2 linked regions of the Macaca fascicularis genome follow. The protein of the gene in region 1 binds, or shares a complex with, the protein of each later gene. Links are inferred from orthologs where the notes say so. Each region holds a gene or a part of one and is shown on either strand. Other genes may lie near its edges.

Evidence for each region.
Region 2: the proteins of CKB (region 1) and ASB9 are in contact, whole or in part, in a cryo-EM structure (PDB 6V9H), measured with the Homo sapiens proteins. The link is inferred for Macaca fascicularis from reciprocal best matches to the Homo sapiens genes CKB and ASB9. Residues at the interface, in NP_001814.2 of Homo sapiens: Asn63, Pro64, Gly65, His66, Pro67, Tyr68, Ile69, Thr71, Arg130, Arg132, His191, Val198, Ser199, Pro200, Leu201, Leu202, Leu226, Trp228, Glu232, Ile238, Met240, Asn286, Arg292, Gly303, Lys304, His305, Glu306, Lys319, Arg320, Gly321; in NP_001026909.1 of Homo sapiens: Leu25, Asn27, Pro28, Leu29, Met30, Gly31, Asp32, Ala33, Val34, Ser35, Asp36, Trp37, Pro39, Glu42, Ile45, His46, Trp60, Ala67, Asp68, His69, Glu75, Ala100, Asp101, Trp102, Val111, Asp133, Leu134, Ser165, His166.

The regions. Positions count from the first base shown.
Region 1 is NC_088381.1:171,693,961-171,699,148, forward strand, and holds CKB (creatine kinase B-type), read right to left. Parts: upstream 3,517-5,188; 5' UTR 3,452-3,516; intron 3,163-3,451; 5' UTR 3,151-3,162; coding exon 2,958-3,150; intron 2,835-2,957; coding exon 2,475-2,834; intron 2,092-2,474; coding exon 1,920-2,091; intron 1,234-1,919; coding exon 1,110-1,233; intron 956-1,109; coding exon 766-955; intron 685-765; coding exon 506-684; 3' UTR 310-505; downstream 1-309. UniProt on the Homo sapiens protein: Reversibly catalyzes the transfer of phosphate between ATP and various phosphogens (e.g. creatine phosphate).
Region 2 is NC_088395.1:15,048,575-15,053,185, forward strand, and holds part of ASB9 (ankyrin repeat and SOCS box protein 9), read right to left. Parts: intron 1,379-4,611; coding exon 1,271-1,378; intron 1-1,270. UniProt on the Homo sapiens protein: Substrate-recognition component of a cullin-5-RING E3 ubiquitin-protein ligase complex (ECS complex, also named CRL5 complex), which mediates the ubiquitination and subsequent proteasomal degradation of target proteins.

The DNA of each region.
Region 1 (5,188 bases):
CCTCCCCCACCCTGCAGGATGAGCCCAAGGAACGTGCTAGGCTCCACACCCAGGCCTGAATGCCCTCAGATGCTCAGGCCTGGAGCTCCTCCCTCATTCTCCCCAGTGTTCCTGCCTGCACAGCCCAATAGACATGAGGAAAGGGGCCCATGGACTAGGTGGGACAGGCAGAACAGAGTGGCCACCTGCTGGCTTCTGTCCCTTCTCACGGAAGGCAAGGCCCACGGCAGGCCCAGGACTCAGACTCCTGGGGCCTGGCTGCTGCCCTTCCCCTTCCCCCCGGGAAAGGAGAGGCACCACTCAGAGGCAGGCAGGCCAAAACCCTAGTTTATTTCAGCATCAGCAGTATCTTAGCCATCAAAAAAATAAACTCTACCAAGGGTGACGAAGTCTCTACAGCAAGGCTAAGGGCTCGCCAGGCGGCGAACATCAGGGGTGCATGGTGGGCACTGCCCAGGCAATAAGTTAGGAAGCAGCAGGGCTGGTGTCGGGTGTGGGCCGGGCTTCACTTCTGGGCAGGCATGAGGTCGTCGATGGCCTGGCCCTGCTCCAGCCGCTGCTCCATCTCGATGAGCAGCTTCACTCCGTCCACCACCATCTGCACCAGCTCCACCTCCGAGAAGCCCAGGCGGTCAGCGTTGGAGACGTCGAAGACCCCGCCCACTGCAGCCGTGTCCACACCGCCTGGGGAGACAGCAGGTCAGGGCGGAGGAAACAGGGCTGTCCAAAGGCCAACAGGAAGCCTGCAGCACCCGCCCTGCTCACCTGTGCCTCGCTTCTGAAGTCGTAGCCGCTTAAGCACCTCCGAGAACTTCTCATGCTTGCCCAGGTGGGGCAGCTTGATGTGCACTCCTGCCCGCAGCCCTGTGCCCAGGTTGGATGGGCAGGTGAGGATGTAGCCCAGGTGAGGGTTCCACATGAACTCATAGTTCTTAGACTTGAAGAGAGTTTCAATCTGCAGAGGGAGAAAAGGGTATGAGAGAGAAGGCCTGCCCGAGACCCCCACAGGCCCTGAGACTCCCAAGTCCCAGAAATCCCCCAGGGGGACTGATGGGGCACCCACATCCCTGCTGGAGCCCTGGGGTCTGGGCCTGCCCCGTCCCTGGCACCTGGGTGAGGCCGGTGCAGAAGCGGGTGAACACCTCCTTCATGTTGCCCCCCTTCTGCATGGAGATGACCCGCAGGTGGTCCTCCTCGTTGACCCACACCAGGAAGGTCTTATTGTCATTGTGCCTGCGGGAGGGCTGGTCTCAGGGCATATCCAGAAAAAAGCCCCAGGCCGTCCCCAGACCAAAGGAACTTCCCAAGTCCCCGAGGTGCTGCTCGCAACCGTGCCCTGGAGCAGGGGCTGCTGCCAAGACTCCGCCCAACACGGGGCAGGCGGGGCCGAGACGCCTCACAGTGAGCAGAACCCCGGCTGCCATCACGTCGTGCAGTGGTCTGAGGTGGGGCAGGGCCAGGGACCGCCAGGACAGCCCCGCCCGCCCCCCACAGTGGGGGTAGGAGCCCTGCCCCCGGAGAAGCTTCTGCGTCACCAGCCCCTGGTAGAATCCCAGCGACTGAGGAGTGAGAAAACAAGGAGCTCCAGCTCCCGAGGGGCGTCGGGCAGAGGCGCCAGGGGCCCCGCCCCCACCTCACGTCTCTAGAGGGGCTGAGTCCTGAACCCCCAGGGGCCTGGGCCCAGTACCTTAACGCACCTGCTCGGCCAAGGTCACCTGCGCGGGAGGCGCAGCACGTAACCCAGACCCGGAGCGCGGCCGGCCCCTCCCTCCTCCTCCTCCTCCTCCTCCTCCCTCTCCTCCTCCTCCTCTCCTCCTCCTCCCTGCCGCGAGGGGCCCCACCCCGGCAAGGGGGGCGAGAGGGAAAGGGGAGGCGGCGGAGAGGGCGGACGCCGCGAGAGGGCGCAGAGGGACACGCACCAGATACCGCGGGCGTCGGGCCAGTCGCGGGCCATGCCCGAGGCCAGCAGCAGAGGTGAAACGGGCTTGTCGAAGAGGAAGTGGTCGTCGATGAGCTGCTGCTGCTCCGCCTCCGTCATGCTCTTGAGCGCGTAGTACCGGCCCGCCAGGTCGCCGTCCAGGCTGGACAGGGCTGCGGGGCGTGCGCTCAGGACGCTCGGCTGCCGCGCCCGCCCCTCCAGCCCACAGCGCGGACCCGCCCGCCCCCGTGCTTCACCCCGGGGGACGTCAGAGGCCCCCACCCGCCCAGACTTGCGGGCGTCCAGTCCTCATGGCCCGGGCGACGGTCCCAGTCGGTGACCCCGCGCCAGGACCCGCCCTCCCTGGGCCCCAGGCCGCTGTGGGCGCGGGGCTGGGCCTCCGTCCCTCGGTCCCTCCGGGAAACTGAACCCAGGGGCGCGCAGATAAGAGCGCGGCGGCGGCTGCCGCTCCCAGGCGACATAAACAAAAGCGGGCGGGGACCGCGCCGGGAGGGGCACGCAGCCGCCGCCGACCCTTGGCCCGCCCGGCCCCTACCTTCCACCGCGAGCTTCTCGATGGCGCGGCGCTCCCCGCGGCTGCAGTGCGGGGGCAGGCAGAAGCCGCGGATGCTGCGGCCCGTGCGCACCCGCGAGCTCAGCACGTAGTTGGGGTCCAGGTCGTCGCCGCCCTGGGGGGCGAGACGGGAGTGAGCGCCCGGAGACCCCGGCCCGGCCCGCCCGGCCCGCCCGCCGCCCCGCACCTGCAGGTTGTCGGGGTTGAGGTCGGTCTTGTGCTCATCGCTGGGCTTGTAGCCGCCGTGCCGGTCCTCGATGATGGGGTCGAAGAGATCCTTGAACACGTCGTAGGACTCCTCGTCGCCCGCCACGCAGCCCACGGTCATGATGTACGGGTGGCCTAGGGGAGGGGGCGCGGGACGGAGACAGTGACGTCACTGCCGGGCCCGAGCGCGCTGCTGAGGACCGTGCGGCTGCGCGCGGGGAGGGGGCGCCGGGACCCCGGCCCCGAGGGGTCGCGTACCCGGGTTGTCCACGCCTGTCTGGATGACGTCGTCCAGCGTGAAGCCGCTCGGCGTGCTCTTGGCGCGCAGCTCCGCGTACAGCTCGGGGGTCAGCACCTTGGCCATGTGGTTGTTGTGGGCGCTCAGGTCCGGGAACTCGTCCTCGGCGGGGAAGCGCAGCTTCAGCGCGTTGTGGCTGTTGGAGAAGGGCATGGCGGCGGCGGGCTGCGGGGAGACGCGGGGTCAGCAGGGACCGGCAAGCCGGGGTTCCCGGACTCCCGCGTACCACTCAGGCCCCCGCCGCCGGGCCCCTCGGCGCCCCCGGGACGCGGCCAAGGTCAGAGGGGTCCGCAGCGCGCGCGGGAAGCGCCATCATCGCCCGGGACCCCCGGCCGGTCCGGCGCGCGCTCCAGGCAACGCGCCCGGAGCGCGTGACGCCGCAGCGCCCGCGCCCCCTTTGCACGCAGCGCCCCTAGCCCCGGCGCCGACGCCCCCGGCCCCCGGGCCCACTCACCGGGCGGCCGGGCGGGGGCGGGGGCGCTCCGTCCGTCGGCAGCTGCCGGAGCGACGCAGGCGAACAGCGGCCGCTCCGCGCTCCCGCGGCTCTTAAGGGACGCAACGAGGGCCGCCCATTGGCGGCTATTTATAGCCCATTCATTCCATTGGCCCGCGCCGCAGGGTGGTGCCGCCGCTTTGTCCGCCGCCCGCAGCCCCTGACACCCCCGGCCGCCCACCCGAGCCGTCTCCCCGCTGGGACCCCGCGCAGCCTGCCCAGTCCCCCGCCCAAGACCTCGAGGCCGAAACCTCAGATCCTTGAATATCTGGATCCCCTCGCACGCCCTTGCCTCCGAGCGGGAAACTGAGGCGGAGAGCCTCTGGGCACTCGAGGACGCTCGGGTTCATCCGCATCCTCCAGCCTGCCCGCCTAGTCCAGCCAGCCCCCGCGGCGGCGGCGAGGGGCCGGGCGAAAGCGTTCAGGGCTTCCGCAGCAGGTACTGCCCCCACCCCACCCCCGGCCAGTGTGAGCTGGCCCGGAGCCGCCGACCTTCCTCAAGGTGCCCGCAGGCATCTCCTGGGCGATCTTGGTGCAAAGCGAAGGCGCGCGGGAGGCGCAGTCTGGCTGCGGCCCAGCCCGGGGGCACCCGCGGTGCCCTGACCTTGGACAAGTCCTGGGGCTCTGGGGAATGCGAGCCAGAAACCACGCGGACACTGTGGTCTTAAGAGGCCGCTGGCAAGTGCAGCCTTGGAGTTTCCAGACCCTAACCCTGGGCCCTCTTCGCAGGGGACAAGCTCACCCGACCCCCAAAGGCAGTCCCCAGAGACTTCTGGCAAGGATGGGAGGAAACGCTAATAAACAATAAGCATAAATGCGATTTAAAGAAGAAGAAGAAAAAAAAAATCTCACGAATAACTAGAGTCATGCAAATTAAGCAGTGACTCCACCTCTCCCTACCCCCAGCACTCCCAGATCGACTCCAGCCAGTGCTGGCTATGAGTTGGAATGAGGGGAGACAGGCGTCCGCACGCTGCCTGCAACTTGAATTGCTGCCTGCTTTTTGCAAGGTAATTTGGCAGAATCTATTAACATTAACAATGTTGGGGGCCGGGCGCGGTGGCTCACGCCTGTAATCCCAGCACTTTGGGAGGCCGAGACGGGCGGATCACGAGGTCGCGAGATCGAGACCATCCTGGCTAACACGGTGAAACCCCGTCTCTACTAAAAAAAATACAAAAAACTAGCCGGGCGAGGTGGCGGGCGCCTGTAGTCCCAGCTACTCGGGAGGCTGAGGCAGGAGAATGGCGTGAACCCGGGAGGCGGAGCTTGCAGTGAGCTGAGATCCGGCCACTGCACTCCAGCCTGGGCGACAGAGCGAGACTCCGTCTCAAAAAAAAAAAAAAAAAAAAAAAAAAAAACAACAACAATGTTGGAACTCCGTGACCCAGCAATCCCCCTTCTAGGAATGCAGCCCTTAGAAAGGATGTCTCAGTTCTCTCCACTAATGGACCAAGAGATCTGTGGAGGGAAAAACAAACACATCTGGATACAACCCGATGCCCATCAGGCGGGACTGGCCAAGGGTAGGAAGGCACCTGCTTGCTATGGAATATTATGCAGCTGTTAAGAGGGGGAAGTGGAGTCTGTGGGGTTAATATCCATTAAAGACCCTCATCCGTTGCTCTGTGAATAAAGCAAGGAAGGGGGGAACTCTTATCTGTGGGTATATTTGATATAAATCCCTCCAGCAGTGGT
Region 2 (4,611 bases), on another chromosome or scaffold:
ATGAGCCAAGTGTGGTGGCGTGTGCCTGTCATCCCAGCTACTCAGGAGGCTGAGGCAGGAGAATCACTTGAACCCGGGAGGTGGAGGTTGCAGGGAGCTGAGATCATGCCACTGTACTCCAGCCTGGGCGACAGAGTACAAATATAAAAAAAATAAAAATATAAAAACTGGTTAATGTCCTATAGGGTCATAAAACTATAATCTTTGAGGCTATCTTTTCTAATGTTGGAAATCAGACAAATTTAGAAGTTAATGTCTAACTTCACAGTGTTTGGGCTATAATTACACAGTGAATAGAAAAGCCAAGCACAGACACATTCTTGTGTATCATTAAATGATTATTTGGTGACTCTTTTAAGCAATGATATTGTGAAGACAATGAATTCATTCTCAAACTCTACTTCCAAGCAGGGCCAGGACTAGAGTGAGGCACAAAGTTGCCCACGGTAAAAAATTTAAGGACATATTCATTTTTGGAATCACACAAATAGTGCAGGAGCCTGAGAACGAGCACCTCTTTCAAGTTTGTACCCTAGGTGTCTCTTGCTTCACCTTGCCACTTTCCCTGTTTCCAAGTTTTCAATGTTTTCTTAGCCCAAATATAAATCTGGCAATGCACTCACCTCTGGCTCTTTACTAATCTTGGGACAAAGCCCGTTCTTTTTTTGGCATGGACAGGGTTGCTTCCGGTTCTGAATCCTCTCACCTACTCTACTCTCCTGCCATAAGGAATGACTTCAAGATACAAAAATTGCTCACGATCACTTCTGGGACTTTGCATTTGCTGTTGCCAGAAGATAGCAAGCCCATAATATCCCCCACCCCACCATTCAGTTACCTAACACCAAACAGGTCCATTTTTGCTGCTCTTGCAATCCCTGCTACCATGTGAACAAGTCCAAGTTGCCAGCCAAAGGGTGAATGACCACATAGATTTTCTGTCTCCTCAGACATCCTAGCCACCCCAGGCAAATGTGTGCTTTCCACAATATTTCATTACCTTCCAGCCATAACAATGAAGACAGAAGTCTAACAACTATTAGTAGTGTGTGATAAAGAAAATGATATAGACTGTAAGCACGACTAAAAATTTAGTATTGCATCCACCTATCACTAAAGCAAACAAGTCTGATGAACATAATTTTCTTAAAAAACAACTGTCTTCATATTTCAAATCAGCCTAATCAAAAGTGCTGGAAGCTATTCAGTAGGGATATACATAGTCATTTTTCATTCTTGGTTTCTAAGATGTTGTTTCAGCTGCCCTTACCTGAGCTCCATGCTTTAATAAAATCTTTACACAAGAGGGATGACCTCCGAGACAGGCTTCATGGAGTGGGGAGACATGATCTGCCGTGATGATGTTCACAAGCCACCCCTGAAGGAGGGGAAATAGAGTAAGGGGTGCAAAGCGACAGTGCCCCGGGGCTGTTTTTCAGCCACCATTCCAGTACTATGACAAAGTTGACCTGGCTCAAAGTCAGATGGTACACTAAGATGTTTATATTGACTTTAAAAAAAACCTGCCACACGACTGGTAGGAGTGTAATATGGTATAACCACTCAGGAAAACAGTTTGACTGTATCTATTAGAGCTGACAATGCCTACGCCTATGCCTCAGCCATCTGACTCTTAGATATATATACATCTAGATACATATACAAGAATATTCACAACAGCATTGGTCATAATAGAAACTGCAAACAAACCAAATGTCCATCAACAATGAACTGAATTAATAAACTTTGGTATAATCTTTCAGCAGAAAGATTACACCCAACAAATTATAATGGCAAGCACTACCAGGGTGATGCTTGCAAAAATAATGTTGAGCAAAAGAAGCAAAATCCAAAAGCATACACACTGAATGATTACATCAATTTAAAGTTCAAAATTAGGCAAAACTACCCCATATTGTTTCAGAAGACATAATATATAAAGTAAAACCATAAAGAAAACAAGGAAATTGGGATAATGGTTAATCCTGTGGAAGAGGACAGGATTGTGTTCTAGAAAGCATGGTAAGGGGAGGGATGGGTGACTCTTTGGAGGAGCCGGCAATGTGCTATTTTTCCATTTCCTGACCTGGGGAGGCAGTCACATGGCAATACTCTCATCATCATCACTTTTTGCTCAACTGCACACGTGTTTAAGTTCTTTTATGTTTGTTTATGAAATTTCTCAATTTTTTTAAAGTCAGCGTGGCCCGAATTGCTAAGTTTTAAGAAGCAATTATTAAATTTTAACATATTCACAAGTGTCTCTATCTTGTGGGACAATTAAAAGGAAATTATGAAACTGCAAGGGAAAAGAAATAGACTGCATGTACCTTTTAGGAAGCCTAAATGTACTTTATTTAGGAAATTGAAATGCACCTATTAACTAATATAATTGCTCTTTAAATGTAAGTATTTAGTAGCACATAGGATTTAATAATATTTGTAATAAAAATACCAGTTTCACCCAACTTTTTTTCCTCAAAAAAACCCTCCTTTTCCTGACATTTAATTTTTTTTCGTAGATTTCCTAGCTCTATCATAGTTTTGACAAAAGGGTCAGTAAACAACAGCCTACAGAGTCAAATCTAGACCACAACCTGCTTCTGTACAGCACAGCAGCTAGGAATGGTTTCTACATTTTTAATGGTTTAAAAGAAATCAAAGGAATATTTTGTGACACATGAAAATTTTATGAAATTCAAATTTCAGCATCCATAAGCAAAGTTTTACCAGAACACAGCCATGCCCATTCATTTACATACTGTCTACAACTGCTTTTCTGCTAAACAGCAGAGTTAGGTACTTCCAACAGAGACTGCATGGTTCACAAAGCCTAAAATATTTACTATCTGGTCCTTTACTGAAAAAAATTTGCCAAGTCTTGTCTTGATCAAAGAAAAGAATATGTCATTTCTTACTTTACTATTCGTACCTAAGATTAAATGTCCAATTGGCAAGAGAAAATACCTTATTTTCTCAGTCATCACACTTAGAAAAAGTAGTTTTGTCAATGCCACAAGAGGGGTATGATTGTCACATGAAGCAAAAATCATGCAAGTGTATCAGACACAAGTGGGGGGAAAGACAGGCTGAGGTACAGAACTTGGGCAAAAGGCAACCAATAGGAAACAACCAATAGAAAATGCGCATGCTCCTCCAGCACGACTACCATTTTTAAACCGGCATTTAGACCAGGCACGGTGGCTCATGCCTGTAATCCCAGCACTTTGGGAGGCTAAGGCTGATGGATTACCTGAGGTCAGCAGTTCGAGACCAGCCTGACCAACATGGTGAAACCTCGTCTCTACTAAAAATACAAAATTGGCCGGGCGTGGTGGCTCAAGCCTGTAATCCCAGCACTTTGGGAGGCCGAGACGGGCGGATCACGAGGTCAGGAGATCGAGACCATCCTGGCTAACACAGTGAAACCCCGTCTATACTAAAAAATACAAAAAAACTAGCTGGGCAAGGTGGCGGGTACCTGTAGTCCCAGCTACTCGGGAGGCTGAGGCAGGAGAATGGTGTGAACCCAGGAGGTGGAGCTTGCAGTGAGCTGAGATCTGGCCACTGCACTCCAGCCTGGGCGACAGAGCAAGACTCCGTCTCAAAAAAAAAAAAAAAATACGAAATTAGCCGGGCGTGGTGGCACATGCCTGTAGGCCCAGCTACTCGGGAGGCTGAGGCAGAATTGCTTGAACCCGGGAGGCGGAGGTTGCAGTGAGCCGAGATCGCGCCACTGCACTCCCGACTGGGGAACAAGAGCGAAACCCTATCTCAAAAAAAAAATAATAATAATAATAATAGTAATAAAACCAGCATTTAGGTGTTTGTACATAAATCCAGGTAAATGAAATACAACAACACAGCTATTGGTAACACAAAACAAAAAGTTTTCACCACATACTCACATTACAGAAAGGTTCCTTCTACAAAGTTAGAAACTCATTTATAGTTCATCATCAAGCTACAGTTTTACCTCAGATTAACTGTGGTTTGTCTAAATTATTAACAAGTCTGAGTCATATAATATCATAAGGTAATTAACCCATTACTTCACTGTGTCCAGTCCACAGTCAGTTCTTAGTTTTGAAAAAAAAAAAAAAAGATCGAATGGCTTAACTTTAATATATTTATTTTCAGTCGTCAACTACTCTTAGTTGACAAAATGTACTTCTCTTGATTCTTGAGTTTGGATGTGGTCATGTGACTTGACCAGTGGGATGTTAGCCGATGTGACATGGACAGATTGGAAGTATTCTTGCATGGTTGGGCTTGCCCTGCTGTGCTCCAGCGTTTTGCCAAGAGAAAATAATTCCTCAGGTAGCCAGTGGTCCAAGAAGGATGAAAGAGATGTGCAGCAGGGCTACACCCAACCCACAGCTGGGAGCCAAGCCCAGCCAGGCCCAGCCTTGATGAGCTGACACAAACACACATCAGCAAGAAATAATGGTTACTGTTATCATGTCACTGAGTTTTGGGGTGGTTTGTTATTGAGTTATGGGGTGGACTGACCTAGGTAGGTATCAGAATACTCATTTTATGAAAGCAGAAACTGGGGCTCTAAAAAGACATCTTACACAAATAATGGGATACAACTTGGAGATGGTTCTG